Linked DNA regions of Kluyveromyces lactis. The protein of the gene in region 1 interacts with the protein of each later gene in a biochemical or structural test. Links are inferred from orthologs where the notes say so. Each region holds a gene or a part of one and is shown in the gene's direction. Other genes may lie near its edges. The genes, in order: SLY1, BET1, GOS1, BOS1 and SFT1.

What was found.
Region 2: the proteins of SLY1 (region 1) and BET1 form a complex in vitro, tested with the Saccharomyces cerevisiae proteins (2 studies listed by BioGRID). The link is inferred for Kluyveromyces lactis from reciprocal best matches to the Saccharomyces cerevisiae genes SLY1 and BET1.
Region 3: the proteins of SLY1 (region 1) and GOS1 form a complex in vitro, tested with the Saccharomyces cerevisiae proteins (2 studies listed by BioGRID). The link is inferred for Kluyveromyces lactis from reciprocal best matches to the Saccharomyces cerevisiae genes SLY1 and GOS1.
Region 4: the proteins of SLY1 (region 1) and BOS1 form a complex in vitro, tested with the Saccharomyces cerevisiae proteins (2 studies listed by BioGRID). The link is inferred for Kluyveromyces lactis from reciprocal best matches to the Saccharomyces cerevisiae genes SLY1 and BOS1.
Region 5: the proteins of SLY1 (region 1) and SFT1 form a complex in vitro, tested with the Saccharomyces cerevisiae proteins (2 studies listed by BioGRID). The link is inferred for Kluyveromyces lactis from reciprocal best matches to the Saccharomyces cerevisiae genes SLY1 and SFT1.

The regions. Positions count from the first base shown.
Region 1 is NC_006040.1:1,554,593-1,562,433, forward strand, and holds SLY1 (syntaxin-binding protein), read left to right. Parts: upstream 1-4,142; coding exon 4,143-6,071; downstream 6,072-7,841. Other genes in the region: methionine aminopeptidase MAP1, read left to right, coding at 363-1,490; chaperonin-containing T-complex subunit CCT6, read left to right, coding at 2,146-3,780; RVB1 (RuvB family ATP-dependent DNA helicase pontin), read right to left, coding at 6,172-7,545. UniProt on the Saccharomyces cerevisiae protein: Able to suppress the functional loss of YPT1. SLY1 is essential for cell viability. May interact indirectly, or directly with YPT1.
Region 2 is NC_006040.1:1,197,229-1,203,382, forward strand, and holds BET1 (Bet1p), read left to right. Parts: upstream 1-3,100; coding exon 3,101-3,544; downstream 3,545-6,154. Other genes in the region: YEA4 (Yea4p), read right to left, coding at 1-458; VAB2 (Vab2p), read left to right, coding at 973-1,818; iron-sulfur cluster assembly protein CFD1, read right to left, coding at 1,843-2,694; protein disulfide isomerase EPS1, read right to left, coding at 3,742-5,862. UniProt on the Saccharomyces cerevisiae protein: SNARE required for targeting and fusion of ER-derived transport vesicles with the Golgi complex.
Region 3 is NC_006041.1:52,947-59,337, reverse strand, and holds GOS1 (Gos1p), read left to right. Parts: upstream 1-3,795; coding exon 3,796-4,443; downstream 4,444-6,391. Other genes in the region: succinate dehydrogenase iron-sulfur protein subunit SDH2, read left to right, coding at 1,251-2,015; ATG10 (E2-like conjugating enzyme), read left to right, coding at 3,013-3,480; FPS1 (Fps1p), read right to left, coding at 4,544-6,235. UniProt on the Saccharomyces cerevisiae protein: Involved in transport from the ER to the Golgi apparatus as well as in intra-Golgi transport. It belongs to a super-family of proteins called t-SNAREs or soluble NSF (N-ethylmaleimide-sensitive factor) attachment protein receptor.
Region 4 is NC_006040.1:492,324-498,774, reverse strand, and holds BOS1 (Bos1p), read left to right. Parts: upstream 1-1,134; coding exon 1,135-1,137; intron 1,138-1,252; coding exon 1,253-1,996; downstream 1,997-6,451. Other genes in the region: cyclin-dependent protein serine/threonine kinase inhibiting protein SIC1, read right to left, coding at 1-428; FMP25 (Fmp25p), read right to left, coding at 2,183-4,024; FMP32 (Fmp32p), read left to right, coding at 4,450-5,088; phosphomannomutase SEC53, read right to left, coding at 5,304-6,068.
Region 5 is NC_006038.1:1,173,546-1,179,662, forward strand, and holds SFT1 (Sft1p), read left to right. Parts: upstream 1-3,553; coding exon 3,554-3,589; intron 3,590-3,726; coding exon 3,727-3,984; downstream 3,985-6,117. Other genes in the region: AUR1 (inositol phosphorylceramide synthase), read right to left, coding at 1-403; RPL14A (60S ribosomal protein eL14), read right to left, coding at 1,257-1,544, 2,008-2,136; CAP1 (Cap1p), read right to left, coding at 4,110-4,898; ESCRT-0 subunit protein HSE1, read right to left, coding at 5,311-6,117. UniProt on the Saccharomyces cerevisiae protein: Vesicle SNARE required for retrograde transport within the Golgi complex.

The DNA.
Region 1 (7,841 bases):
ATCAGAAGTAACCGCCAGTTAATCAAAATTTTCTAAGCACTATTCTCTCAATCGCCCTAAACCGAGGTTGTTCCTAAGATATTTAGAAATGTGTCATAGATAATGCGGAGTCTTCGCACTGTAGAATTAAAAGAAAAGTATGACATTTAAACTCATCTGACTTTTCAAATAAAATTTTTTGTTTCGACCTTTAATAAAGAACATGAGAACGAGATGCGATGAGAGAAGCTCAGATACAGCTCTTTCTACTCCTCTCTCTCACTTATTTATACCAAACGTATTCCAAGTGATATAGAAGGTGTTTCTGAACTGCACTTACTGACATAGCAGCTGTAAATCTTGGAAGACACTAAGAGGAAAAAATGCAGGAAAAAATCGCTAATGTCCGTTGTTCTAGTCTACAATGTGGTAAAGTTACAGATTCGATGTTAAAATGCCCGATTTGCTTGAAGCAAGGTATTGAAGAGGTCTTTTGTGGAGAATCTTGTTTCAAAGACGGGTACAAACAGCATAAGGCTTTACATTATGGTACAGATGGTTCTGGTGAGGTGTATGATCCGTTTCCAAAATTCAAGTATACTGGCAAGCTGAAAGCTCAATACCCTCTGTCGCCAAAAAGACAGGTCCCAGATGAGATCGAGAAACCAGATTGGGCAGAAAATGGGCTACCCATCATCGAACAAAGAAATGATAGAACAAACAAGATTCCTGTCTACAATAAGGAGCAAATTAAGAGGATCAGAAAAGCTTGTGCTCTAGGTAGAGAAGTGCTAGATGTTGCGGCCGCCGCAGTTAGACCAGGTATCACTACGGATGAAATTGATGAGATAGTGCATAACGAGACTATCAAGAGGGGAGCATACCCATCTCCTCTCAACTACTATAATTTCCCTAAATCCGTCTGTACTTCTGTGAACGAGATTATCTGTCATGGTGTTCCTGACAAATATGTTCTAAAAGAGGGAGATATTGTCAATTTAGATGTCTCATTGTATTACCAAGGCATGCATGCAGATTTAAACGAAACTTACTACGTTGGTGAGACTATCGCCAAGGATGTCATAAATACCGTTGAAACTGCCCGTGAATGTTTGAAACTCGCCATCAAGATGTGTAAACCAGGCGTAACTTTTCAATCCTTGGGAGACTGCATTGAAAAGCACTCCAAATCCAACAAATGCTCTGTTGTTAGGACTTACTGTGGTCATGGTGTCGGTGAGTTTTTCCACTGTGCCCCCAGCATTCCACATTATGCTAACAACAGAACGCCCGGTGTCATGAAACCTGGAATGGTCTTCACTATAGAACCTATGATTAACGAAGGTGTATGGCAAGATATCACCTGGCCTGACGATTGGACTTCTTCAACAAAGGATGGTAAAGTTAGTGCTCAGTTTGAGCAAACCCTTTTGGTCACCGAGAATGGTGTTGAAGTCTTGACGGCAAGGAACAAGAAGTCTCCAGGCGGCCCAAGAAATAGGATAAAATAGACCCAGTGAAATGACAATAGTTAAAAAATGAATATCAATAGAGAAAGTTACTGTTTACCTCGTTTCGTATAGGAAACAATCCATAAAACAGCCATCATCGTCGTCATAACGGACATCATTTCGGCATAGTCTTTCATGTGAATAGATTCAATACATATCATCATATAAATCAATTTACAGAAGACCAAAATATTTAGAGAATTCTCATTGAAAACCACTATTAGTATTTATTATACTGAAGATGTGCGGTCCTACTAAAGTATAATCTTCATCATCTTTGCATAAATATGAGGATCACGACAGCATGGATTGTTGCTTTGCTTCAATAACCGGGTAACCATTAGCTTTCGCCACTTCCAAAGAAAAAAAATTAATCGAAAACAGTGATCTAAGTTTTCTGATGGAGAAAGTAAAGCTTTTAATTATGGCTAACGTTCGGTGTTGAAGAAGAATAACATTCAAAAGAGTGAAAGATACTGTTGCATTTTCGTCCACAACGTTGATTCTAATAGAACCGAAATCAATCTATACTCTCTAATATTTAGTTGTGATATTCATTGCAGTCAATTGCTTGCATCTTATTATCCAGATCAAAAGTCATAATTTGACAATACCAATTACGTGCAGTGCATAATAGAGAGAAAGCAAGATAATTATGTCAGTTCAGTTGTTAAATCCAAAGGCCGAGTCCCTAAGAAGAGATGCTGCTTTAAAAGTCAACGTCACTTCAGCGGAGGGTCTTCAATCCGTTTTGGAAACTAACCTAGGACCTAAGGGTACTTTGAAAATGTTGGTCGATGGTGCCGGTAATATCAAGTTGACCAAAGATGGTAAAGTCCTATTGACTGAAATGCAAATACAGTCTCCGACTGCTGTCATGATTGCTCGTGCAGCCACTGCCCAAGATGAAATTACTGGGGACGGTACTACAACCGTTGTCTGCTTGGTGGGAGAACTGATGAAACAAGCTTATAGATATATTCAAGAAGGTGTCCATCCAAGAACAATTACTGACGGGTTTGAGATTGCAAGAAAGGAAACCTTAAGTTTTTTGGATACCTTCAAAATCGAAAAGAGCGCTGAGGAGGATTTGGATCGTGAATTTTTATTGCAGGTTGCCAGAAGTTCCTTATGTACTAAAGTCAACCCAGAACTCACTGAAGTTTTAACACCAATCGTCACTGATGCTGTTTTGGCTGTTCAAGATCCTAACAACAGAAATCTAGATTTACACATGATTGAAATAATGCAAATGCAACATCTATCTCCACAGGATACCACTTTTGTTAAAGGATTAATTTTGGATCATGGAGGAAGACATCCTGATATGCCAACCAGAGTCGAAAATGCACATGTTTTGATTCTAAATGTTTCTTTGGAATATGAGAAGACGGAAGTCAACTCTGGTTTCTTTTACAGCTCTGCTGACCAACGAGACAAGTTGGCTGCTAGTGAAAGAAAATTTGTTGATGAGAAATTAAAAAAAATCATCGACTTGAAGAATGAAGTATGTGGTATGGATTCTAAAGAGGGTTTTGTTATCATAAACCAAAAAGGTATCGACCCAATGTCATTAGATGTTCTTGCTAAACACAACATTCTTGCTCTAAGAAGAGCCAAGAGACGTAATATGGAAAGACTACAACTCGTCACTGGGGGTGAAGCTCAAAATTCCGTTGATGATCTTTCGCCTAAAATTTTAGGTTATTCCGGATTGGTTTACCAGGAAACTATCGGCGAGGAGAAATTTACTTACGTCACCGAAAACAGAGATCCTAAGTCTTGTACCATTTTGATTAAAGGTTCTACTCACCACGCTTTGACCCAAACCAAAGATGCAGTAAGAGATGGTTTAAGAGCTGTTGCAAATGTCATCAAAGACAGTGCTGTCGTTCCTGGCGCTGGGGCATTCTTCATTTCTGCTTCCCAGCACTTGAAAAGGGCGAATATGAACAAGCTAGGCGCCAAAGGTAAAGCAAAAACAGGTGTACAAGCCTTTTCAGACGCACTTTTGTCTATTCCTAAGACATTAATAAAGAATTCCGGATATGATGCCCTTGATGTACTTGCCCAATGCCAAGACGAGTTGGAAGAAGATGAGACAAGAATAGTGGGTGTTGATCTAAATATTGGCGACTCTTGTGATCCAACTATAGAAGGTGTTTGGGACTCTTATCGTGTCCTCAGAAATGCAGTAACTGGTGCCGCAGGTATAGCCTCTAACTTGTTGCTATGCGACGAACTACTCAGAGCCGGTAGATCTACATTGAAGGAAGGTCCACCACAATAATGAAGCTGGTACAATTAAAAAATATCACTGTCTTTAACGTAGGTTCCAAAATCAAATAGAATTATGTATACTAAATGGAAATAAATACGAAGTACAAGACTCAAGTTTGGCCGATGTATATGTAATATGCGATCTCTTCACGAGTGCTATAGATCCAAATCTACGTGTTGGCCAAATACCGTTTCCATCACCGAAAACGAAATACTAATATACTTCAAAAAATGATTAAACATCAAAACTGGAAGCACCTTTATAATAAACAGACACACCAAAAGTACAGAAAGTACGGACGAGAGTGAAGTCATTGACTGCAAACCATTGAACAGCATACCTCATCGGGATCACATATATACCAGAGTAATATGCTGAATTCAGAATTGTCCTTAAGAGACAGACAGATTCTGTCTATTGAAAAGATGCTACTGTTCAATTCAGATAAAGGAACGGAAGCAGCAACAAGCAATCTTGATGAACAAGAGATCGTTTGGAAAGTACTGATCATGGATGCTAGGAGCACCGCTATAATATCATCTGTTATGAGAGTCAATGACTTGTTAAAATCCAATGTTACAGTTCACGCCCTTATCACACAACAGAGATCCCCTTTACCTGATGTTCCAGCAGTGTATTTCGTGGAACCAACAGAAGCGAACATCGATGCGATTGTCCAGGACTTGAAAGAAGATAAGTATTCAGAAACATACATCAATTTCACAACTACATTGAAAAGAGATCTTTTAGAAACCTTTGCAAGCAAGGCTTCTGCTACTGGCAAGTCTGACAGAATAAAACAAGTGTACGATCAATATTTGGATTTCGTTGTAACAGAACCGGAAATGTTTTCATTGGAGATGCCCGGCACTTATGGACTTATTAATAATCCTCAGAGTTCTGAGGACGTTATCACTAATCTATGCGATTCAATTGCTACTGGGATCTTCAATGCTATCGTCACAATTGGAACTATACCTATTATTAGAGCACAAAGGGGTGGTGCTGCTGAAATGGTGGCTCAAAAACTTGAAACCAAACTGCGTGATTATGTCAATGGTACCAGATCTTCAGCTAGTGGATCAACTTCATTTGAGCGGTTTGTTCTTGTTATAGTGGATAGAAATATTGACATTGCTTCTATGTTTGCACATTCCTGGATTTATCAATGTTTGGTATTTGATGTTTTCAAATTATCAAGAAACACTATAACCATGCCTACCACCAACGAGCAAAACGAAGAGGTTATTAAAAAAATGGATATAGACCCAAAAGATTTTTTCTGGATTGCCAATTCTCATCTACCATTCCCTGATGCTGTCGAGAACGTGGAAACTGAACTTTCGAATTACAAAAAAGATGCAGAAGAAATTACCAAGAAGACTGGTGTAAGCAATTTGACAGATCTTGATCCAACAGGACAAAGTGACACTATACAAATTCAAGAAGCTGTGAAAAAATTACCACTTCTCACAGCTAGAAAATCTACCATTGATACACACATGACAGTTCTCGCAGGGCTTTTGAAACAGCTTGAAAGCAAAGGCTTAGATTCTTTCTTTGAGTTGGAACAATCTTCCGATTCTTCTAAAACCAGACAAGATTTCCTTGCTGCTCTTAAAGATGGAAAGACTAACAACATCGAAGATAAGGCGCGTACGTATATCATAATGTACCTGACAGCACAAGAAATATTGCCTAGCGCCTTTGTCAAAGAAGTGGAGCAATATTTCCAAAGCGTCGAGTATGATATCAGCGCATTAAAGTACATATATGATTTGAGACATATGTTCAAACTCTCTTCAATGGCATTACAAAATAAATCATTAGAAACGCATACATCCGCTAATTCAGAAGGCCAGGACGGTAACGCATCACAGCTTCTCTCCGGACTATCAAACAAGTTATATGGATTAACTGAGGGGAAAATACAAGGTGTTAGTTCTCTTCTTTCTGGAATCAAACAACTTCTTCCCGAGAAGAAAACGATTCCCATTACCAATATCGTCGAAGCCATCATGGATCCATTGAACAGCTCAAAAAAGAACCTTCACATTACAAGTGAATATCTTTACTTTGATCCTAGAAGCACAAGGGGTTCGCACGAGAAGCTACCAAAGAGTCAGACATATAATAAATCCTTGGTGTTTGTTGTAGGTGGCGGTAATTACTTTGAATACCAAAATCTTCAAGAATGGGTTCACCAACATGAAAATAGCAACAAGAAGGTCATTTATGGTAGCACTGATATAATCTCCCCTAACGGATTCTTGAAAGAGATCTCAGGATTTAAAAAGTGAGGTTATAATATAGATTTATGATTTTATTTGTTGTCAGTATATATTTATAATAAACTTATACTTTGATGAAGTAAGATGCCATGTTAACACGAAATTAAAGTTACAAGTAATTTTCAGATTGTTCCAAGATCTTCGTAGACCTTTTAGCATCTAAAAATAATAGCTTTGCTTCTTCAACATCTGCCACCGATATTTCGGCGCGGTTTGCAATCTTAGCAATGATACCTGATGGTGATAGAAGCTGTAGAACATAACGCAAAGAAGTTTCTGTGCCTAAAGTCGCCAAAAATTCCAATGCTTCGTCCTCCACCTGCAAGTTCTCTACAGCAGCTCTCTTTGATATGATTGTTTTGATCTCTTCTCTGTTATAAGGTAGAGTTCGAACAATTAGGAGTCTATCTATCAAATCTGGTGGAACACCGTGAGGAGAAACAACGTCGTCAGTGCCGCGTACGGTGATCATTCCTCTGTTTGAGGCCAAAACAACCACAGGTGCAATATCAGATTCTAATGCTCTGTTTAAGTAAGTAAATATTTCGATGTCAAGCATATTCACTTCATCAATGAAAAGAACACCCGGGACAAGTTCTGCTACACCTTGGTCAATGTACTTTGCGACAACCTTATTAACCTCGTGTCTAAGCTTTTCTGTTATCTCTGTCTTCTTTGGTTTCATGAGCTGTCCCATCATCGAAATGACATCTTGTCCACCTTGAGGTCTGGCATTAGCGACATCTAGATCATGTAAAGTGACATCCTGAACTATTTCCTTCTTCTTATGCACTTCTCCCTTTGGAAGGGGAACGTACTCTTCCGCTTCCAAATCGAATTCAGTTGCGAAGGCATCTGATCTACCAACTCTTTTCACCGCACCTGTATTTGATTCGATATAAATAACGTCACCAACAGAAACCTTTTCTCTTTGAATGCTTTCGTATATAGTTGGATCAAGCCTCAATGTCTTAGTACCCTTGGCAGACTTCAATCCGACGATAACATGCGAGATTGTCTTACCATAACCACCCAACGGATTTTCCGCTTCCTCTGGAGTTAATTCGGTAACTTCACCTTCGTAAACTTCCTTTGTTTCTTTAATTCTTAATCCAATGGCTCTTCTGAAGTTTTCCATCAAAGCTTCTGTCTTTTTCACTTCAACGGAATACAATTCAGAGCCCACTAAGGGACAAAATGGAACTTTAGGACCAAGTTCCTGCGATATTGCCAAAGCCAAAGCTGTCTTACCAGTGGATGGCCCACCAGCCAATAAGATAGCTTTACCAGACATTTTCTTGGCTTTGATCAAATCGACGATGACACCACACGCTTCCCGAGCTTCTGCTTGCCCCACAAAACCACCTTCCACTTGCTTTGCTACACCAAACTCATCTAAACCTAACCCTTTAATGTGTGTGTGAGCTGCAGTACGGGTATACGCAGTGCTTGATTGTTCCTGCACTTCACTGATTTGTACCATGTTAACGTTATACTATCGCAAGAAGGAAAATATAGATGGTAATAATAGATATCTTCTCCTAGTTTTCTTTCGACTGCAGGACTATTAAAAAATTGAAAGGCTGATCCGTTACTACTACTCAATCGAAAGCTAGCTAAAGAAGACCGGTCAATACTTGAAAATCATCAAAGAAACCCAGATTTGAAGAGATGTCGACTGCTGTTTTTTCTTCTAAATTGCCCAGTAAACAAGAAAAGCATACATATCATCACATACGGAATTGATAGTTGTCCACGTGATTAGATATCATGCCTTTT
Region 2 (6,154 bases), about 360 kb from region 1:
TTATGCCACGACGTAATTTCAGTAGACCTGAAAACAGAGGTAATTATGGCCCCAAAAGTCATCATGAGTGCTGCTATAATTTGAGCAAAAGGATATCTCTTTTTGAGAATTATTGAACTGAAAATCATGGTGTTTACGGTGCTCAAACATTTGATGACAATGTGTAATGGAATTGAAATGTTGTACATGAAAACGTTATTATTAAGAACAGATCCAATGAAAAAGAGCAACGCTGACGTTGAATGGATAAAGAACGGTATCTTGCAGGGTTTTATTGAGACTTTCCTCCCTTTTAAGCTGACAAACTTCGGCAGTTCAATTAGGATAACGAATATAAACTGTGTAAAAGTGACCACATTTCCCAACCGATCTTTATTATCTAGTAAAAGTTCTTCTAAACTCAATACATTGGAACAGCACCCACCAAACAACGATAAAATAGCCAATATTTCTATCATTACTAAAGAAATGAAATTATGAGATCAATTGGTCAACGTAAGGGTATTCAACACATGGAATGGTTTCTATATATATAGTAACTCTCTCAATCGACAATAGGAAAAAAAGGACTAGCAATCAATTGACCTTTAAATGAATCCAATAGAGTTAATCTCATCAATCCAATTGAATTCAGTAACCATGAATACCCCTAGACTACACATCCGGAACGATTTCAAATCAACTTAAACAATCTTTCTTTCATGATGACATGTATTGTAAAGAGGTTGCCTGAATTTTATATGAAAAAACGTTTAAGAACCATAAATGCGAACCTTAAAATAGACACGCATTAAACCAACGTATTAAGGGCACGTTTGTCAGAGAAAGAACAGCGAGAAAGGCTCAGTTGAACTAAACTATTAGTGTACTCAGGAACCATTATTTATTGGCTAAAATTTTTATACTTGTACTGACCCAGTGCCATCAATAACTTTAAGGTTCTTTGAAGGTTGAGATTCCAACTGCTATAAGATGAGTTTCCTATTCTATGGAGATTCGAAGCACCTGAGGAAGCGAGAGAGCTTCCACTTTGCGACAATTGAAAAGAGTGATTATTCTAAACAGTTGCAATCATTGCCTTTGCTTCCCTCTTCCTCTTCATTGAGACAAGATCATATATTCTCCAATGTGGCCAAGGAAGTAAATCAAATCAGTGACGATGTTGCCATAATTTATTCGAGACTTCAGGAAGAAATCGATACAGAACAATCGCAGACGAAAGAAGTAAATAACAAGATCAACCACTCGGTAAAAAAACTAGAGTCTAGCTTTTCTAAGTTAGTAAAACTACGATCAAAATTCACTAAGGATTCGGATAAACAGTTAAAACAGTTCGAAAGCAAATATTCTGACATTGATAAGAAGGTACGAATAATCAGAGATGTGAATGAAGAATTATTAGACTACGTAACTAGAAACGGTAGTATAAAAGTTGATGCGACGCAATTCAGCAAAATTTCAAAGCTGTTGCAAGAAAGGTTCCCAGAGAGTAGTAACACGACAGAAACCGAAGCGAATAAGGACAATAGTGGGCAGTCACAGAACGAAGCTAATTCCGAGAGTTTGAACAGCTCTTATTCGAGGCAAAGTACAAATGGAAGCCAAAATAATGCTAAAAAAGATTATCATAGTACCAAAGGAAATTCAGCGGACTCAAACACCACCAAATCGTACCGTCAGTCGATATCCTCGGCGCCATTAGCACTGTCATCAATCCGGAGTACATCAAGGCCATCAATCGCTACAACTCTTGAGCATATATGTATCACAGAACCGTTCACTAGACCTCGAGGCATGAGCAAATCGGCTGACTTATGAAAAGTTTCATGTCAAATTTACCCATTATTGATCTGTTCCACTTTTTACTTCACCGTTCAGTACATTATCTAATATCTTTGAGAAAATGACATACAATCCAGAATCCTTGTAGAGATCAACTAAGCTCTCTTTGAACCCAGTCTGTTTCTCAATCAACTCGACAAACGTCGGATCAATTGGAATATTCCCCAGGTACGGAACGTTATATTCGCTGGCTAATTTGAAACCGCCTCCTCTAGAGAAGATATCTGTACATTCAGCACAATGAGGACATATAAATCCGGACATATTCTCGATGACACCGAGTATATTGAAGTTGACTTTCTTACAGAAATTGATTTCCTTTCTCACGTCTGCCGTAGCGACACCTTGAGGCGTGGTAACAATAATAGCACCATCAGGTGCAGCCCACCTCAACTCTTCTGCGATAGATATATGTTCATCCGAAGTTCCGGGCGGTGTATCGATAATCAAATAGTCCAAATCTCCCCAATCCACATCTTTTATAAATTGTTTAATCATAGCACTTTTCTTAGGACCACGCCATACCACACTATTACCTCTATCATCCAAAAGAAAACCCAAGGACATGAGTTTCAATTCCCCTCCTGATGTCGTAGGAACACTAACGGGTATCCAACCCTTAGAAGCCTGATAAACCTGTTTATTTTCTAAACCAAACATTCTAGGCAACGACGGTCCAGTTAGATCAATGTCTAAAACACCCACTTTGTATCCCTTTAAACATAAAGTTAATGCTGTCTGTGTGGTGACAGATGACTTACCAACACCACCTTTACCAGAAAGGACCAATATAATGTGCTTGATGTCCTTTAAGGACTCAGGCATACCCAATAATTCGGTTTCAGCTGACATCGAGATACAATTGATTATGATCCTGGGACACTAAACGTACCAGCCACTGCAGATATGACTGTATATGCTCACAGTGGACAGAATACTTATAAAAGGGTATACTGCAAATACTTTTCTCAGCCGTTTAAACAGTAGGTTGACTAATACATTTAACTCTTAGCTTAACTAGGATTTCATGATGATAATGATACCTTTGTCAGAGCGAAGGGGAAACCTTCGAGGACAATATCACGTGATTAAACTTCAACAAAAAGTTTTCGTTAAGCGAATCGATTTGGTAGTAGCTTACAGATGGACTAGGAAGTTCCAAGGTGAAACTGCACTTAATTCCCTATGGTTAGATCTGAGTATCTTGACAAATCTACACTTTGTATTTTATTGTTGAGGCACTAGAAATAATTAAGGTATGAGTTCAAACTATAGTGGAATGCAAGGTGATTTGACACAGCGAGATGCGAGTAGGACGCAATTGTTTGCGGGTACTGACTTCTCTAAGTATAAACAACAACAGGATAGACCAAGTTCGCCGTTTGATAGACCATCCCCAGGGGTAGATTATTCTCAAGCAACACTTTCGCAGCTCGAGTCTCAAAGTGATGAACAAATGAATACCATGAGTGAAAAGATCAACGCACTAAAGAATTTATCTCTACGAATGGGAGATGAGATTCGTGGTAGCAATCAGACCTTAGATCAGTTAGGAAACGTTTTTGAACAGACTAGCAACCGTTTGAAAAGGACTTTCAAGAGAATGATGGTGATGGCTCAGAATTCTCGCATTCCATTAAAAATATGGTTCATAATATTTGGTGTTCTGACACTTTTGTTCTTCTACGTCTGGATACGTTGAGAGAGCGAGAGCGAAATAAAAAACCACAAAAGGGTCATGTACTGAAGAGTATCCCATCGAGCATGTATATCTAATTCGTATTGGTTAAACGCATTCCTTCACGCATTATATGTACCATTAAAAAGATATATTAATAAATCGTAACTATCAGTATTAGGTTGAAATATAAGATTATTTATAGGAAGAATTCCTGTTCCTCAATCCATGAGCTTAGCTTCCTTCCCGAGGATACCATGAGTATCCCGTTTTGCAGCGTAACGTCTTTTCAGTTTATAATGATGAATGGTTCTGGGTATTTTCCATAACGCCAAGAATGTCACCACAACAAATAAGTAATTGATTCCGCTAAATTCGCGGAGGTAGTCAATTAATCTGAGCAATCCACTGAGTGGAGTTCTCAAAAAGATGCGTTCAATACGAAGATCAGGGTGTCTTGCGGGGAAATTCAGAATGGAGAGGACTTCGGGCAACGTCTCTAGGGTGATGTATTGTCCAGAAGCATCCTTTTCGTAATAGATGGCTTTTTGCTTGTCCACGACAATGATATCACCAGTCTTGAACTTCCTGAAGTAAACATTTAGACCTTTATTATTCAAGAGAGAAGGGGATTCATTAATGTCCAAATAGGCAAATATGACCTTGTGATTATAACTGTAATTTATCTCTTTTCTCATGGCAGTGACTATATCAACGGATGGTGCGTTTTTGTTCTTAAGCTTTTGCACCAGTTTTTTCTTTTCTTCTCTGGCCGTCTTAAGACCTTCGTACACCGCCTCGTTACGCAATATTTCATAACTATGTGCCGCTACTCGTAGGCCTTCGACGATTTTCTTTGAACCTTCTTCAAACTTATTATTCTTCTTATTAACCAATTGAATTACCAACTTGTCATAGAAATCTTGTTCAAATCCTTTTAATGCTTCAAAGTTTTTGGATGTAATCTCAGTGACAGTTGGAAGAGAGTTTATAGTGAGCCAATCCAAGATGAAGTCCAAATTTCTGGTTTCAGTTGTTGAATATCCAGGGAATATGATCGGAGTAAACGTAGATTTCTTGAATATGAAGAACGTTGGTGATTGGGTAATGGATGTCGTGATAAAATGGTCCTCATTAATTTCAGTGCGTTGATCGGTATTATAATCTTTGTACAGAGTTTGATAGAGAGTATGGCTTAACTTCTTTAGGTCGTCAGTGTTCTTGTACAAGTAAATATTAGGGATGTATCCCAATGGGTCAATGAGTTGTTCCAAAAATTGCATATCCTCAGGGACAACAGTTTCCGGGTTATAATTAAATACAAGCAATATTTTATCGGCTTCGGCATTTGCTTCCAAAATGTCACTTTTTGGTTCTTTTACAAAAGCTTCGATCTCATCCTGATCAATATTTGGAACGTTACTGTTGTGTAAAGTTCTTGTAGCAAAATCAATCAAGGATTCGCTATCGACACGCTTTGGACCAAATGGGAACTTAATAAAACTACCACTCTTGCGGTTAGGTAAGATCAATGCAAATTCCGGGGCTCTTTCTAACCTAGAGTTTCTCTTCTGAGTCAAAGTATCGAAGGACAACTCCCTACAAATGGCTTCATTCTTTGAAGAATCTGTCGGATTCACACAGTTGAAATGTACCGTATTGATTCCTATCGAGTCAGCCTTGTTACTTACCAACTTCCAAATCCGTTGAAAAAGCGAACAGTCTTCACAGTTTTTGAACTGATAAGAAGATTCGATATCTTCAAAATCAGAGGTTGGCCAAAATGAGACAAAGTATGGTTCAGTTTGAGGTTCTGATAAAATCTTCAAGAGCTCACCATCATTCAACAGTTTACTCTTGCTCGATAGTTTAGTGATATCCAGATTGTCTGCATCCAGAGCTTCCTTTCTTGCAAAATTTAGCAAAGTTGTTTCAGTCCGTTCCAAACCTCTGGGAAATGCCTTGATAAAGCCTTCTGGTCCATATAATCTGATGGTAGGGTATGAATTAATACCCTCTTTCATACATAAGTCTCCTGACTCGATACAATCCACTTGATGGAGAGATATGTTGAGCTGCAAGGATTCATCGTAAAAGCCATTGTACGTCTTTTCCCAAATTGGGGCTAGCTGCTTACAATGATGGCAATATGGACTGAAAAATTCGATGATGTGTAGATTCTTTGCTATGGTCTCGTCAAAGTTGGCTTCAGTCAATGGAGACGGTAATTTACTTTCTGGATCCGCAGCATTACCTTGATTAGGATTAGCTCTTGGTGGTGCACCTAAAACCAATGGTATCGAAAGAATCAAGTATTGCAAAAGCCACAAGTGAGAAACCATTTCGGTAATAGAACCTTTAGCTGATATTTCTTAGTAGCACAAGAATTCCTAATTGCTCCAATACCTCACTCATGTATATATATCGTATTGATTTCCAACCTTTCCTATGTTGCATGTAGTCAAAATGGGCATAAGGCTATTTTAAATTACTGCAAAAAAAGATACTGATTGATAAGAATGATGAATAAAGGCATATATATATATATAAATAAATACAATACAAGTAAAGGATAAGTGTAGAGACTTTTGGTTAATTAACGATGAATATGAGAGAATATTTAAATGAATACGT
Region 3 (6,391 bases), on another chromosome or scaffold:
AATACTTTATTTGTACCAACCGAGCTATTCATTCTATCTCCTACGAAAGAAAAAAAAAAGACGAAAACAAATTATTTGTTACCCGCATGGTGATCATGCTCCGCAATTCCACAAAACAGAACATCCCACTATCTCAGATGGACGGACAGAGCGAGAAGGGGTCACCGTTTGCGCTTCCGAATGCCATAACTAATTCAAACTGGCACCCTAGATGATCCGAGCTGATGGTAATGAAGAAATGGGCAGGGATACAGGATATCGCAATTCGGAGCTTAGAAGCTATTCTGCTAGTTCTTGGTATAAGCTTTCGGAACAGAACTCCAGTGCTGAAAACATCTTCCCGGTTTGCTCCGCGTAAAACACCCAATCACCACAAATGTCCCTCTTTATAACGTCAGCAACAGAAACGTTATTAAAGTGGTTCCGCGCAAGAAAACCGCTAGCTCGGGCCCGATTTTGTCATGAATAATCAAAAAAAAAAAAAATTCAAACTTTCCCTGCGATTTTTTTGCGTCCATTGGAACGAGTGACCAAGCTCAGCCGAAGAGACCGAGCGGGCCCTTCTAGGTAAAAAAATGATAAAACAGGAGAAAATGACAAGGGAAGGGGAGAAGGAGTCGTTCAGCACAGAAAGAAAGGTAGCAATTGGCGCAAAAAATAAAATTAAATTGGAAAACAGGGATTAGCTTAGCTTATACGCTCATTTCTGATCAAGGAAAGTAGAGAGTGTTTTTGGTTTTCAGCTAGCTGCCTGCATCGCCAACCACTTCAGTGGGAGTTTCTATGGAATTAATGACTGTCAGTGATTTGCCAATAATGGCCGGCCTTGGATTGGAATTTTATTTGATACTTATTCGTTGAGTATATATATATATAATCGAGACATTAGCAACTTTATGAACGTTAGCATCATTTTTGCCCTGCATTCAATAGAAGTACTTTGTTTAAATTTGTGATATATTGAAAGAATTTAAGAGCTCTGTCTTTTTCGTCCCCATTTAGCGACTTTCATATTACGACACTGTACCGCATCGTTCCGAGTACTGTTCTCAGTAAACCATTACCAATACTATTATTAAGGCTTACTCTGGTTAACTAAGTCAGCATATAACACCAATATTCAGCAGACAATAGAAAATAAACGCTTTATCCGCTTTCCGTTAAGTTTTCAGATTTTCATTTGACAGTAAGAAGAAGATCTAAAAAATATAAGATCTCATTAAAATATCATTGAAGAAGACATACACAAAATGTTTAACGCTATCATTAAGAGAGGTTTGGCTACTGAAGCCAAGGCTGTTGCTCCAAGGCTAAAGACTTTCAAGATCTACAGGTGGAGTCCAGATAGACCTGCTGAAAAGCCACGTTTGCAGGAGTACCAAGTCGATTTGAACCAATGTGGTCCTATGGTTTTGGACGCTTTGATTAAGATTAAAAACGAACAAGATGCTACTTTGACCTTCAGAAGATCCTGTAGAGAAGGTATTTGTGGTTCTTGTGCTATGAATATTGGTGGTAGGAACACTTTGGCCTGTTTGTGCAGAATCGACCAAAATGAAAATAAACAAACAAAGATCTACCCACTTCCTCACATGTATATTGTCAGAGATTTGGTTCCGGATTTGACTCATTTCTACAAACAATATAAGTCTATTCAGCCATACTTGCAAAGATCCGAGGTACCTGCAGACGGTAAGGAAAATTTGCAAAGTATTGCTGACCGTAAGAAATTGGATGGTTTATATGAATGTATTCTATGTGCTTGTTGTTCTACATCTTGTCCATCTTACTGGTGGAACCAAGAACAATATTTAGGTCCTGCTGTTTTAATGCAAGCATACCGTTGGTTGGTGGATTCAAGAGACGAAGCTGCTGGTATCAGAAAGCAAATGCTACAAAACTCCATGTCTTTGTACAGATGCCACACAATTATGAACTGTACTAGAACTTGTCCAAAGGGTTTGAATCCAGGTAGAGCTATCGCAGAAATAAAGAAGGCCTTGGCCGTCGATTAGAGGATTCAAAACATTCTAAATTGTGCAATGGGGTAATATTGGCTCGTAATACCACGAAAAAGGTTACTCTTGCTCCGGTTGCATTTGATCTTTTATTTCTCTTCAGTACAGAAAGTTATTTCACTTCCTTCCTCTAAATTTTGATCTTTTAAAATCATTTCCAAAATATGCCATTCCACCAGTAAACAAAAACAAATTAGAAAAAAGGAATGCATTGAACGCTTTCCTGTGCTCATTACATGAGCACTTAACCAATGTTCAATAGAATCAAGGGAATCTCAATCACAAAAATCACCTGACACCAAGCTTCTCATTTTCATTCCATTTAATTTGATTCTTCAAAACATAGACTCTCCTTCAGTTCAAATACCTCCATGCCGCTCTGGCGCCAATCATCATTGTTCTTTCACTGTAAAGTTTCTCTCTATCTCTGGCTGGTGTTGATATAATACTTCAACAGACCATTGATCGTCAGGGAAAAGTGGAAGAATGAATCGTGGTAAACTACAGACTGATGCGAGTTCCTCACAATGCCCGTAAAGAAGTCTCACTTATCAAACAACTTTATGTTTTAACCACCACCGTATCATCATACAGCAGTTCCTATACTGTTATCCTAACCTAAATGAAATGTCACGACTTTGTCTGTTTTATTATTTATTGATATAAGCTTTTCTCATAAGTGGAAAAACTTATCGTTTCATATATTTATTCTTAAATTTCACTTTTCAACGTATGCATTGATTGTATAATCTCTTTAACGGAAAGTTTCATATTACTTATTTTTAGTTGTTGGCGGTATGTGCGGAATTTACATCCTTCCGAAATACCCTTCTTCATTTTAAATTTCATCCCTTCCGGTTTTTTACACCTCTGGTTCTGTTTATTCCTTGAGCTAGGTAGGATACAATATCAACCTGAAAATAGGTTAAAACTGAAACGATTCAGATGCATAAGGGAGATAATAATCATTGAGATGACCCTCTTCAGCAGATAAATGTTATCATTGCAACAATACAATAAACAATTACCTGAAATAGCCAAACTTGTATCAAGATGGGACAAGGCCAGCCGGGTTCAACTCATTAAAGAAATCTCGGATCACATTCTTGTCGTGAACATGCGACAAAAGCAGTTTCTTACAATCGAACTGCAAATTAACTACGATAAAGTATATCAGGTACCTTCCATAAGGTTCCGGTTATGGGAACATGCTTTGGATGATGAAGATGTGTCCTCGAGTAAGCTTTTATTTTTATCTGATGTCGAACTACGGTCTATAATCGCCCTAAATTCCTTTTCAGTGTCACTTTCATCAGATCCCACCACTAAAGAAGTTTGGTATCATGTCAATAACTGCGATACAGATGCAAATGTGGGCACAGAGCCTGAAAGATATCTTCTTCGTTGGATATCTCTATATTTGCAGATCTTTGATCCTACATTAAATATCATGCTTATATAAAGGGAGACGCGAGCAAATGCCGAAGCGATTGACAATATTTATTCGCATACATCAATAAACATTGTTCCATCATGTATAAGTGTATGTTTTATGAGACATAGGCATCTTTTCGAGGTATATTTAGATGAAAGTTATAATTCCCCTTGTATCCCCTCCAGTTCAAGGATTAATATCAACCGTTATGTTTCCTTTTGATTGAAATATTAAAAAAAATAGAAATAGGAAGGATAATATAATGTTAAGAGTTAAACCAAAGAAGTCTCAGCAGACACATGTCGATTACCAGAAAGGACCAAACTGCTACAACCGTTTGAAATGTCAGCTTCATTTGTAACGGTCAGATCTAAGGCAATTTCTTTAGAATCACAAACGGATTCTCTGTTGACTAAATATTCTTCTTTTGCTCAAACAACAAGTTCTGAACCGTCAGGACAAGAAACGCAATTGCAGGAGAAACTAGAGAAGATTCTCAACCAGAGACAGGAGACAGTGGAATCTTTACAAAGAATTGCAGACAGTGAAAGTAATATATCCACGTCCAAGCTATCACAGCTACAGCGCCATAGGGAAACATTACAAGACAATTGGCAAACGTTCCGTGACATTCGCTCCTCCATACAACAAGAACGCAATCGCCTTAACCTCTTGTTTTCAGTGAAGAAAGATTTACAAAATAGTGCTAGTGATAATCAAAATGAATATATTCAAGATGAGGCTCGGAGAGTCGAAAATTCTCACACAGTGGTGGATTCTTTGATAGACCAGGCTTATGAAACCAGAGAGCAGTTCATGTCACAACGAGTGTTTTTACAAAGGTCTAGTGACAGAATCTTACAGACTTTGCAACACATTCCTTTGATTAATAATGTGATATCAAAGATAAACACTAGAAGAAAGAAGAATGCTGTAATATTGGCATCCTTAATATCAATTTGTATCTTAGTACTATTTTTTACAGCATAAATAGTATCAACTGAGGTAATTAAAACTTGATAAGATCACTGTTAATGCTATGATAGGTACGTAATTCGTTATAAAGGGAAGAATGCATTTGTGTTTGTTCTCATGCGCTTCTGTCACTATGCTTTTGGATGAAATTTGGTCGGGAGTAGGTTGTTTCTTCTGATTCGAAGATTGTAGGAATACCTGTGCTAGGATTTCTTGTCTTTGAATTCCTCAATACGCTCTTGAAATGGACTTGTTTGTTCTCAGACGTCTGAGATCTGTGGCTTTCTACGTTTGAGGTTGTGTTATTAGTACCGATGGTTTCTAAATCAGAACCAACGAACCCAGATGATGTTTTCACCTTTAGGAGTTCCCAATGTCTTCTAAACCAATCGGTATAAGCTGAAAGTGGTAAGTTTAGAGGTGATTCGTGCCCTTGATATATGCAAAAATCATATACTAAACCACCAGTGAAACTTCCCACGAATGGAACGACCATTGGAACCCAGAAGAAATGGTGATGCGTGTTAAAAATCACATCTTTGTCCATCCCGATTGTTAAGAGAGCTAGCCTAGGTCCCATATCTCTCGCAGGATTCAAAACAGCACCTGTCTGGTATGCGCCTGCTGCATTGAGAATAAACATAAGAATGAAAAGCATCATAGGAAAAAGGTCCGTGGACAAACATGTATAAGGATCTGTTAACGAGAAAATTCCACACTGCAGCATGGCCCCTATTAGAAATTCTGCAATTATTTGTCTTGATGTAGAGAGATAATCCAATGGCACGACACTGAACATTGCCAATACACTTTCCTCCAAATGCCAGTTTGGATATACATGTTCAATAACCTCTCGATAGTACCACAAAATTAATAAGGTTCCAATATACGAGCCCAGGTATTGTCCCATAAAATAAACACCTAATTTTCTCCAAGGGAATCCTCTATAAACAAAATTTGACACCGTAATTGCTGGATTCAGATGTGCACCCGAAATTGCACTACCACCTGCTGCAAAATAACCCATTACCACAGCCGCAGCCCAACCAAAGGCAACAGTTGCGAAATTACCTGCAACATCTGGAGTTGCAAGATATTGCAGCATAGCTATTTGATCAGACTCCATGTTATTCAACTGAATAATTTGATTAAATTTGTTAATTTGATTTTGTTGTGAAAGTTTCCTTTGACAGTTAACAGCAGTACCAAACATCATCATAATCATGGTACCTAAAAACTCACCGAAAAATTCCTTCATGTGTTGGTACTTAAACGATGACCACTTATTGATCGGATAATATGTCGAAGGTAAAACTGTGGGTGTTTGAGGGTTTTGATATAAAGTCTTTGGTTTCACCATCATAGTCACGGCACCATTCACGTTGCTCGGATCATTTGGATCTGCTGCAGTTTGACTGTTTTGATTAGGTCCCGTCGTCGATCTAGACATCACGGATCCCGGACCTTCTGTAGGCCTAGGTGGCATGACGTTAGAAGTTACGGTGTTACTTCTTATCCTCCTATAGTTATTCATATTTAGTGACGTATTCGGTACCACCTCTTGCACAGGAAAATAAGAACCTTCGTCCAGATATTGTTGCACGTAGGCAGTAACAGGAACCGTAGCCCCATCATCTGCACTATCGTTATCATCGTCATAACCGCCTTCGCCTGAGATTCTACTTTCATTCCCGTCAACGCTACCTGTCGGATAACGATGATTCACATTTGCAAAGTCATCGTTCTGCCAGTCACCATTGGATATTCCAGCGTCTTTGACAGGCTCATATTGGGCCGTCTGTGACATTTCAACCGCAAATTATGGCTGCAGCTACTATAGGATTCTGATTATCTAGTATTGCTAGAGTTCTCGTTTCAACTAGTGTTCGGCAAGTCGTAAATATCCGAAATCTGTACAGTTAATTAAAAAACTTTCGCAAAATTATAGATATTATTGATATGT
Region 4 (6,451 bases), about 1.1 Mb from region 1:
GCAAGTTTGAATTTGTTATTGACAGCATACTCATCATTGATATTATAACTTTGAACGCCTTTGAAAGACTCCATTATACCGGTTCTCTTTGGTGGTAGCAAAGTCCTGTTGTTTGAAGTTTCTTCTACTTGGAAATCCGATCCGAACAAGACCCTACTGACAGGTTGTAACTTCTCCTGGTCAAACTCTATCCTGCGTTTCGTATGTTTGTTCTTATGTGGGGTATATTCAGGTGTCTTTAATGCCGGGCATGGACTTGTTAAATTCATGGGTCTAGTAGGTGGCTGCAATCTATCCTTTACTCTAACTGTCCCCGGAGTAACCATGCCAGAGGAATCAGATTCCGCGGCTCGCTCTGGAGTTGCGAGCAGCAAATCTGTCTTATTTGATCTCTTATTCCTAGAACTTGGAGGGGTAGCTGGGGTCATTATTATGGAAATAAGAGTGTAATGCGTAGAATGCAAAAAAAAAAGAGGATAAACTCTAGTATTACCAATTGAAAGCTATTGATATTGTTTTCAGATGTATCGGTGTGTTGATGAGATCTAAATGAAAAGTAGCAAAGATGGTATAGAATGTATACTATACCGATGATATCCCTTTTTCTGTCTAAAACAAAACGGACTGAAAATCTGGCAACTTATAATGAAGCAAAAAGCAGAGTAGGTTGAAACCAGTTTCCAGTAACCTCACTATCGTCAAGAAGGAATTTGATATGAAGAGACTCTGATTCGATTACTTAGGTGCGTATGCAACCGCTCTATGCTGGATATGGTTCGCTGTTAAACTATCTTTATATATAGATATATGTGAGACTCAAAACCAGCATCTTTAATTTTTTTTTTAATGTGAACCACTAATAATATTGAACCAGCAACAATTTAGCAGTCATACTTGAGTAGCAGTAAATAACTTCTAAACAAGGATTGCGTCTGTGAGCAGTGGAACCACTGGAAACTAAGAAAGTTTATGGAACATTCATACGCATTGGGATAATTCAGATCGATCAGAATTGACGATTGACGCTCAACGTTTGACTCAGCATTTTCCTGTATTTCTCAAGAGTATTCCTTTCTTGAATCTTTTGGATCTTCATTAGCGATCAAGAATTTTTGCGATCACAACAGGGCTAAGATGGTATGTTTCGCTGGAGCGCTGCTCTAATTGTATTTCTACATTTATAGACACGCGTCGCGTATGTGTTACTTATTTACTAACTTACCTTAATTATTGTTTCCCACGATATCACTAGAACGCGTTGTATAATCATGCCATCAAGCAGCGAAGTCTTCTAAATAAAGACTTGGGTAAATTTGAGAAAGAGCTCGTAACAGCGCCGATCTCTTTGCAAGGGGCGATCGCCACAACCCTTGTTTCTTTCGAGAAAACGCTTCATCAGTACAAGGAACAATACAAGCAATATCAAATAAATAGTTCAGATGACAACGACGAAACTAAACTAAAGTATGAGACGAGACTTCAGACCTTAACACAGGATTACGAAGATGCAAAAGAGAAATTTACCGAATTGAAGCAAAAATACTCAGAAATTAATGCGAGAGATCAGTTGTTCAACCAGCAAGCATCAATGGTGGAAGAGACCGTGATGAATAAAAGGAACATCAATGCTCCTCCGCAAACATCTTTCGGAATAGGCGCCTTAGATCAGAACAGTGAAAGAATGACTATCAATTCGGCGGCTGGTTTACCACTATATGAAGGATTGAGGAAAGAGAACTCGATCTTTGAGAGAGGCAACGCGCACTTGGACAGAATATTACAGATGGGACAGGAATCTTTGGAAGATATCATGGAACAGAACAGGGTCCTTCAGAGATTGCAGTCTCAGATGACAAAATCTCTACACGTACTCGGAGTATCAAATGAAACAATCGAAAAGATTAATAAGAGGTTGTTCAAGGACAAACTCATTTTTTACATTGGTCTCCTATTGTTAATCTTAGGAATTTATTTCGTCCTAAAATGGTTCGGCTGATCAATGTTTGTAATAAAGATTTATCAAAGTAACTCGGAGATATATTAATAAATATAGACTTTCTTTGTAACTACCACCATTATAAAAATAAAGACGTAATATGTTCTCATGAAAACGTAGTAACGTATACTGAGAAGAGGATGTATTTACAAGATTTTAAAAATCAGGTCTAATGAGAGTCACTCGCTATGCCTTCCAGAATAAACAAGATGCTTCCTTACCAGCTCTTAGACTCTGTTCGTCTGAAATAACTAGTTTATTATTTTCGTCGTACAATATGTCTAGGTTCTTGCCGTTGAACCTTTCACCTGGTTCTAACAATCTAGGAATGTAAGCTGGTTTGTCCCATTTGATCTTCTTCCCATTACCAAGTTGGCCATTTTCATTATAACCCCAGCACATAATCTCACCATTCTTTAATCTTACAAAAGCATGCTGCTCTCCACAATACCAATCTCTGATCAAGATGCGCTTATCAGAATTTACGGTATTATCCTTGAGATCGTTTATCACCTTCATTCGAGTAGGAGTAGATTGCGAATGCTTGAAATGACCATTACCTAATTGCCCTTGGATACCATTACCAAAGGCAAAATAAGTGATGTTATCCTTGTCATTGTCAATATCAATTGCAAAGTCCTTGTTTTTGAAATATCTATGAACATCCTGTGGAAGTATACTAACAAAGGACGTGTTTCCAGAACAATTAATTTCGACACACTTCAAGAAATCATGTTTCTCAAAGTGTCCGCTAAAGCTGCTAACCTTCTTTGGGAACGGTACATATTCCATATCGTAGCTAATGCTTTGGCCGAGTTGGCCATAAGTATTTAGACCAAAAGAATAAAGTTCCCCGACTGAGTCACAAGCAAGGGTGTGATAGTCTCCACATGCGATTTTGGAAATTGATCTGGATGTGACATGATCACCAGCAATACCGGTATTTAATAGTTCGATTTCGTATACCCTATTCAATTCGGGGTATGGATCAAATTGCGAGAACGTTGGGATACCGAATTGTCCTTTAGATCTTTCATTTTCAACGTGTTTAGTACCAGTCGCGCATGTATAAGCTTTCCCTTTATTCGAAAGAAGAACCAAATGGTTTGAACCAACGTCAAATTGGATCACTTTTTTTTCACCAGAGTAACGGAACGCAGATCTTGTGTCTAGCTTCCAAGAGTAACGGCAGTACGTTTTCCAAGGAAGCAACAGTGACCTTGACCAACTAATTTTATCTGAAAATAAGCTCTTATCCTTTAAAGGAATGACTAGCACTTCACCTTTTTTATTCAAACCATAAGCGACATCGTTCGAAACTTTGATTTGTACCAAGTTTTGATCTTTCAACAGTAAATTACATTTACTATTATCCCACTCAAATAGATTTCCGTCCTTGTCTACGGCTAGGTTTCCGTAACTTCCATCATCAGTTAAGCAAACATCTCTTAGTTTCATACCATCGAAAAATGGAACTCTCAATGGGAACTTGGTGACGGCTTTTTTGGAATCAGTTCCCAATCTTTGTCCCCAATAATACAACCCCACAACTGAACTATCAGCCGAGTCAGCTGGAACTACAGGTATATCGGTCAGTTTCCTACGCTCTTTTTTTTCCTTTAATTTTTCAATCACATCGTCACTTACATGAATGTCTTCAGTAATCCACCAATTCTTGATTTGAGGCCACATCATATATGCGGTACCAATAGCGCTGACACCACCAACAAATAGGAGACCTTGAAGAACAGCATACAATTTAGCTAACTTTTCCATCCTATCAAAGTACTCTTTTTCAGATTGCGCCTCTGACTTGTCCTTCCATTGGTAGTCTGTCTTAACACGTTTACCGACATAATTCGCATTGTTCAAGCGTTCAGCCATAATTTCTGCATCGTCATACTTAGGTTCCTTCCCTAGTAGTGTCACAGCAGATGAATGGAACCCATTAACAAATTGATGACCACACCGAGAATAGCTGATCTTTGTAGCTTGATTCGCACCGCAACGAACTATTGGGCGGAACATCTCTTTAACACTTTGCAGTTTCCAAGAAACACCTTAACAAACTGGTACGCCTTCACCGTTATATAGCACACTGTTTATAAATAAATCTTTCTATATTTCTTCGCTTCCTCATCAAGCATTTGACAGCTCATTTTGGCTTTTTTTTTAGTTTCATTAGCATTAATTTCAAAGGTTTCGTCTGTTTTACTCTTTACATGGCTATTTCCAACAACATGTAATATATATATGTATAGAAATTCAATGGCAATCTCAAAGGTGAAACAACTAACGTTAAATTCCACTGGTTTCGGGGCTAACTCCTTCTGAATACCTAAACAGTACGATTTCAAGTTTTACATTGTTGTTATTCCATATCCGATAAATCTCCGATATCTTGTCAATAACTGGGGTCTTCTAAATTTGTTTAACAACTGAAAAAGATATCAATGATAAGATCTTTCGCTTTCCCATCTTATCCTCGTGGGTTTTTAGGATTACGGACCCTTCATACATCTCGTATCCTTTACAATGATATGGAGACTGTGCACATTAGGGATACGAACCATTTCAGGCAGCGTTTAATGGATGAAGGTAAGTTCTCTGAGGAGCAATCTAATGTGATAGTGAATATAATGATTGATGCGTTACGAGGTGGGGTGGCACATGTGTCACAAGATCTTGCTTCAAGAGAAAAGCTTACCAAACTTACCTACCAACAAAGGGTTGACTTTTCAAAACTTAGGGAACAATTGCTTACAGCGGACCGTAGTGAAATCCATAATTTACAGAATGAACACGAAAGGATACGTAAAGATCTGGAAACGATGAGAAATAAGCTCAGAGAAGAAATCACGAAGGCCAATGCCGGTTTTAAATTGGATTTGTCCTTGGAGAAAGGTCGTATAAGGGAGGAAAGTAGTCACCATGATATGCAGATTAAAGAAATCGATACCAGAATTGATCAAGAAGTGACGAACATGAAGATGCAAATTGATTCTGTGAAGACGCAAGTCATGCAATGGCTAATAGGTGTATGCACTGGTACATTTGCACTTGTCTTGGCGTATGTCAGGCTTCTAACTTGAACCTTTGTCCATTGTTTTCTTTCAGTGGATGTATATACATGCGTATCATAATACAAGGCTGCAATCATAGGTATGTTGCCATGGAAAGACGTGTTAGCTTTCAAAAGTAACTTCGGTATTTAATTTAACTTTAATTATGGGGCAAAGCCCGACAGGAATAGGTACAAATGATCTCTAATTGATACACGATACTACAAAGTCGTAGAAACCATTATTCATAGATCAAACAATTCCTTTAAGATTCTGACAGTGTCAGCAGGAGATTCTACAGAGTGACCGATAGTTCTGTCGTCGACGTAGATTTCATAGTCGTTACCACCCTTGTAAGTCTTGTCACCGAAGAAGTGGATTTCTTTGAAACCGTCGGCTTCGACGTGTCTCAAACAGTAAGTCTTATCCCAACCGGTTGGGAAAACGTCAAATGAAATTTGACCACCGATTGAGAAGGTCAAGGACAAATGAGCGAATTCCTTCTTTAGAGCTTCGACGAACTTAGCTCTGACTTGGTGTTCCTTATCAAATTGTTCAAATTCGTTTCTTTCAGCAGTAGAAGCGTTTCTACCAATTGGTGAAACGTTAATCATACCGTTTCTGAATTCCAAGAAAGTACCTCTTCTCTTTGGCAAATCGATGGAAGCCAAGTATTGCAAGATGAATTTGGCCAACTTGTTGTATTCTTCCTCACCGATCCATTCGATAAAGGATTGAGAAGCTAGTTCCTTACCCAATCTGTAAGCGGTCAACCCGTTTTCAGAGAAGGCATAGTCGAATTGATCCAAAACATCAGATCCCAACTGTTCCAACTGTTTGGATAAATCACTACCACCAACGAAACCAATAACAACTTTTTCTCTCAATCTCTTCAAGATGTCTCTAACCTCGTCTGAGACGGTCAATCTGGCTGGAGTCAAAGTACCATCAACATCAAACAAAACCAAAGTGGTTGGCTGTTCCTTATGCGAAAACTCTGAAACACTCATTTCTTGATCTATTTTTATCGATGGAGATATTGTATCTTACCTCTGTAAAACGGAGCTATTAAGTTTAATCACAGATGGTTACTTGAAGAGGATACTTCAATGAAAGGATGTGGGAAGAAATATTTGGCTTTCTTGTTTCTTTAGATGTCAACTGTGTTAAATATAAAATGCCACGAAATGGTTTTTTTCATCAATTTTTCATTTAGAACTACGTGTAAAGAATGTAGAAACGTGAAAAAAATCACGTAAAGAAAACGAAGAGAACGGCCAAAGGATCTTGACAATGTACTGCAATGCAATATAGGCGTGATTATCTATATGTATGTGCCAGTTCGGATGATGAAGTGGTAGTTGGTAACGGCTCATGGAGTTTTCAGTAATTC
Region 5 (6,117 bases), on another chromosome or scaffold:
CACTCAAATTATCACCATAAAGAATAGTTTCGATTGCTGGTAAAACTTTAACGGTGATCGGAGGCCTGTAGGAAGCGTCAAAAGATGACGATGTGAAGTATAATGACAACCATGCAAAAATAGGTAGAGCATTAAAGAAAAATTGACCTGTGGCTGGAATCACAAATAGTAGCAGCAAAAGGGAATAGAAGAGTATCTTGAATATCCATGGTGCAGGATTTACAACAAATGAGAAAAACATTATACTCCCTAAAAACCCATAATGACATATATCTGTGGCTGAAGCATGGTAATTCTTTAGTTTCCGTATGCTTAATTTGGGATTAAAACTCGTTTCTAAATTAGCCAATCTAGAACCAGCCGGTCTATTAGCAAGAAAGGTTCGTTGGAACCAATTTGCCATTGTTTTAAAGATGCGTCGATTAGTACACTAAAAAACCAGTGACGCTAATTGGAAAAAACAATAACCAAAAAATAAAAAAACACGACTATAACAACGGCAATAGTTGAATATAATCTATCGTACGCTCTCTGATTCGTAACTCAGTGGAATGAAAGCTTCAATTAACGATATCGTCCACTTCTCTATATTAAAAAAAAACTCAACAAAAAAAAACTGTAAAAGCGTCTTTGTCCAATGCTTTCTTGGTATAAAGTAGTGAGTTAAGAGATAAAATAACAACTGCTTTCCGTAGTTTCTCAAAAACTTTTATTCTGATGTCAATAAAAGGGCTGACAACGATGATGTACCCTGGTTCACCCTTTCCATCTGTTTGTTATTTGTTTATGTATTTATTTATTTATCAATTATTTTGTTTTATTTCGATGCTGATTTTTTTTTGTTTCTTTTCCTTGAGAATCAAGAAACGTTCAACGTATTAAGAAACTAAACAATATAGGTCTAAAAGCAACAGTTAGCAGTTTAGAAACCTTACATACAAGTAAATCCTGATTACCGTTAATTTCCGACATGTTAATGAAACAAAGGACCTCGATGATGTAACAGTGTAAACACGAGTAATTTAGATGTACATTATATTATTGTTATAATAATATATACTGATAAGAGTTGAAAACCCTCACTTTAAAATTATATGTATGTATAGTGAGGATAGTCATACGCCTCAAAAGACTTTAAGGAAATGAGGAGTGAGAAATGTTATTTCTATGAAGAAAAGAGATTTTTGAATTTGTAATTGTTGCTAATGAAAGGAATTGGCAAAGCTTCATAATAAACCGATTAAAGTTTAAAAAGTTTAAGCCTTGGCAACAGCCTTCTTAACAGCGTATCTCTTTTGCTTCTTCAAAACCAAAACTTGGAATCTTTCGAAGTCAGACAAAGCAGCACGTCTTTCTCTTTGAGCGATCTTCTTAGCCCAGGAAGAAGTAGCCCATTTTTCAGAGACACCAGCAGCAGCCCACTTCTTTGAAACAGTAGCAGACTTAGCACCTCTTGGAACAGCAAAGGTCAATGGAGTCAAAACGACTTGACCTAAGTTGATAGCTTGTCTTGGGACACCAGTGGTTGGACCATCAATCAAAGCCTGGAAGGAAATTAAAATTAGACAAGTTAATGTCATGGATATTTTGTTAGTAAAAATTGTTCGATACGAGTTTATGGATAGAAACAAAAAAATAACTAGGAAAAGGACTGTCATGTTCATACCAAGTACGAGAGCCATCGAGTATTAACGACACATTCCTAACCTTACCAGAAGGAGGGAAAACAAACGTAGTCTAAACCTCTCTCTCGATGTCTGTTCAGTACAATAGTTTTTCATTCATTTCTCAAAGTATACTTTCTTTAACTCGGGAAACAGTTTATCATGAATCATTCTTTCCTCTTCCTCATATTATTCTTCGGTTCGATCCTATACATCTATGCAACTTTCCCAAATAAAGCATAAGAATACCAGATCGCAGTGTGATCGATATCTGTTCTTATTTCAAATGGAAAGATGGTACTGTACAGGGAATCTCCGTTTCATTATAATCTGTAAAACATACTCTCTTTTGGTCAATGATTTCAACAATAGTGGCCAACTTGCCGGCGGATTGGCCTTGTTTAACCAAAACAACACGGCCAACTTCGACCAATCTCCAGTTAGAAGCTTTAACAACAGAATCAGTGGACATCTTTCACTTGGTTCTTCTTCCGTTCTGTAAATCAAGACCAAACCTAATCTAATATAACGTAATAGTAAGTATTAAACCGTTATTATAGTATACCTTCAAATAGTGTAACAGATAAAGTAGTCAAACAATTTTGTTAAACCTTGGTTCCAAACTCAAACTTCCAACGCAGCCCTGTGTGTCTGTGCGTGTCTATCCGGTGAAGCTGGAATTCGCTATTGTCAGAATCCAGGACGCAGAGTACCTTGGAGTGCTTATTGATGAAAAAGTTGCGTGGGTAACAATGTATGTGGGCTACGGGTTTAAAATACATACCTATTCCAATTTAGGTATTATATTACAGGACGAATTCATTTTCATCCTAACACAGGCGCAACAAAATATGTAATGGTTGGGTGTTTAAAGGACATTATTGAAATATAATGAGATGTACAGGTGTATAAAAGGGCAGTCCCACGAAAATTGTTATCAATGTCCGCATGCTGATTGAATTATATATAAAGAGAGCGTATGAGATGAGGTATGCTGTTTGTATTCACACGATTAAACGGTGGTATTGTTAGACAGTTAATATTAGGATTGTGTTTCAAGTATGAAGCTTGTTCGTCACTTTAATAATAATAGTAACAGCATGAGCAGTAGCCACTGCTATTACTATACCTAGTTTTAGTGATGATTGAGATTTAGCAGCAGGAAGTATGGATTTGAGAAGAATTCTTATCATAATGTTTCGTGGTTTTGGGGTTCGCTTCTTTTCTTTTGAATGATGTTTTATAATTTGCGATCGAGGGCAAGTCATCTCGGGACATGCCTAGTTCCATTATGGGAGTCTTGTGGTATGCGAATAACTTTCGGTCTGACTATTATAGAAAAGAATCCTTTCATTACAACACATTCATTATAACTAATTCTTCTCTTTCTTTCACCTCAGCAGAGGTGAGGAGATAATTATCGTGTACTTCTGCACCTAGTCATGTTCCAATTGTGATCATACTTATATATACCACATATTTCTCAGGTATGGAGGATAAAGCGAACCATAACTATCTTTACGAGATGAAAACAGTTGCCTAACGTTGATTTCATATGAAAATTATAAAACTAACAAACACCAAGATCTACTCTGATTTCGATAATTATGGTTTTCGCTTTGTACCGTTAACAGCGTCATGTATAGTATTTGTATTCACCGTAGCTTTCTTGTACCTTTCGCTATGCTTCGCTGACTGAAATGAAATATCATTTCTAACGTGTTTTGAAGATTCAATTCCCATTATTATGAGCGATAGAATTGAAACACTGTCTGTACCTTAAAAGGCAGGATCAAAGTGCACCTCAGAGTTTATATTATAGCGAAACGTTCACATTTAGCAACTAGAACGCGATATAGAGCCACTCTTGCATAAAGTGAACTCTCACCATGTCGGATTCCAAGTACTCACAGGTGGAAAATGATGTATGTTCTACCAAAAAGACGTTTGATGGCAGAATAGGCTTGAACCTACAGGCGCAGTATCCTTACCGACTGTACGGTATGCAAGTGCCACTTTAAGATCGAAATTTACTAACGTAACGCTCAAACATTTTCTTTAGAATAATCAAAGGTTAGACGAATTGGCCAATAAACTATCTACATTCAGAAATATCAACCAAGATATTGGAAATCAAGCCGCAAATGACAGCTCCCTTATCGACAATATACAGAACTCATTCGGTCAACTTTTCCTTAATGTCAAGAACTCATCTACAAGGCTCCAGAGATCTATGAATGCCGGTAATAATATATGGCGTATGGTGGGTGTATCATTATTGTGTTTCTTCATATTGTACACGATATATAAGGTATTTTAAGAACCTTTTGCTTACTGACCGCAAGTACTCTTCTTTATAGGAAGAAGTTTGAATAAGCAGAAGATATTCGTTGTATATACACATATGTATACATTCAGGTAATGTAATGTCATAGCATCATCCTTTCATGCACCTTGAGCAGCATCTCTTCCCAATCTGTAATTACCGATCCCTTGTCCCCAGTTGATCTTGGCTCTAGTCACGGGTAATCTTCTTCTCAATCCCTTGAACTGTGTTTCATTCATGTACTGGAACTTATTGATGAGATTCTTTTCAAACTCGTTCTCAAACTGCTTGATGCTTACTATTGGTGAATCCGTCTGTGCTGATTCCAAGGAAGCAGTTGATTTGAAACGAACGTTACCGTCTTCGAAGTAATGAGCATCGACGGAGACTTCGCCAGAGATCGTATCCCCATCGACATCATACACATATTCTGATAACCAGTAACCAGTCCAGAAATCACCTAAACTTTTCTTGTTACTGACAACGATTATGGCATATTGGTCGCTCTCTGGAATCTTAAACACGTTGAACACAGCTGTATCAGGGAAGAAGTTTGAAACGTATTTAGACAATTCATCGTAAAGGTCTGATTGTACCTGAGTGGCATCTTCACTGGTATATTCCTCAATATCACTAGCTTCGCGGGTAATATGGTCTACGGCAAATAAAACCTTGTTTACTGGATCGAAATATTTACTTCCAGATTTATTGTATTCAGACACAAGATATCTCTCTTCACCCTTAGCAGCTGGCACTCTGTGCTTCTCATTGAATTCTTGGATAATTGAAGCAATCTGTTGCTTGCTTTGACCATCGCTTAACACTTGTAGATTATCGTAAACCAAAGAGATTTCCTCTGGAGGGGAATCGAATACAATATCTCTCACAATCTTCTCAAATTCAGACATAATATGATTTTCACAGTGTGAATTGATGTTCACCACAATTTACCTTAAAATGACAGGTTAATTGTCTCTAAATCCACTTCTTCACTGGTAGATTTTTGCCTATAACTGTAGTAAATTTTAACTTAAGAGTTCTTTACGATATCGTTATTCGTCTCATTTATTTTTTGAAAGAAAAAGGGACCTTAAATTTGAAGGAACCTAGGCTATCCATGACTTGTACTAGGGAAGAGCTGCAGTTGATTAATGACATGGAAGGCGCGTAAGGCCATGTGTTTTGGCAATATATTGAGATTTAAATACTCTTACAACTAAATAAACATGCTCTCTTGACGTATGTGCAAAGAAATAAGCTTATCATAGGATAGTATTTTTATATAGAAGTGCAGATTAAGCATGAAACAGAACAGATCCACTACTGAGCATTACTGTTAGAGCTCATGTTATAATGTTGAGGCATTTGAGGTTGCTGCGGAGGTATAGACTGCATTGACATACCGGTGTACTGAGGATATGGTGCCAATGGCTGTGGGATATGGTTCGTACCAGTATAATTGGTGTTACCGACTGAGCTCGCATAATTTTGAGGTGAGTTTATTTGACTCAAGGGCTGCTGAGTTTGTTCAGACTGTTGAATTTGTTGAGTTTGTTGAGGTAATGGATATGAATATGGCGGATTTGGTATGCCATTCATTTGCGTTTGTGTATTTGTAGGACTTGTGTATTGAGCAGTTGGTGACATTGGACTTTGTGGGCCTGGAGTTGGTGCAGGTCCCGTCATAGGCGCGGGCGGAGGCGCAGAATAAGCATAAGCATTAGATGCTCGACTTAGCAACTGGTTGTATGTGATTTCAGCATTAGCCAAAATTTGACGTAATGATACGAGATCTTCTTTCTTCTGAGCGTACTTACCAAGCATCTTTGATATCTGTGGGCGAATTGGTGAAACTGATCCGTACAAATCATTTATCTCTTGGTCTTGCGTGATATCTGCGTTTCCAGCTTCTCTCAACTTATTCTGTAGCCTGTCAACATTGTCCTTTTGAGCGAAAACCTGTTCGTCCTTTGCTCTTTCTGCTGCCAATTCTTGTTGAGAAGGTTCTGTAACTGGAGTTACATAATTGAGCGGGAAGATTCCAACGCTCCCAGCAAGCGTTCCTCTCCACCAATCCCTGTACACCTGCTCAACCACACAAATCAGATCCCCTTTCTTGAAAGATAA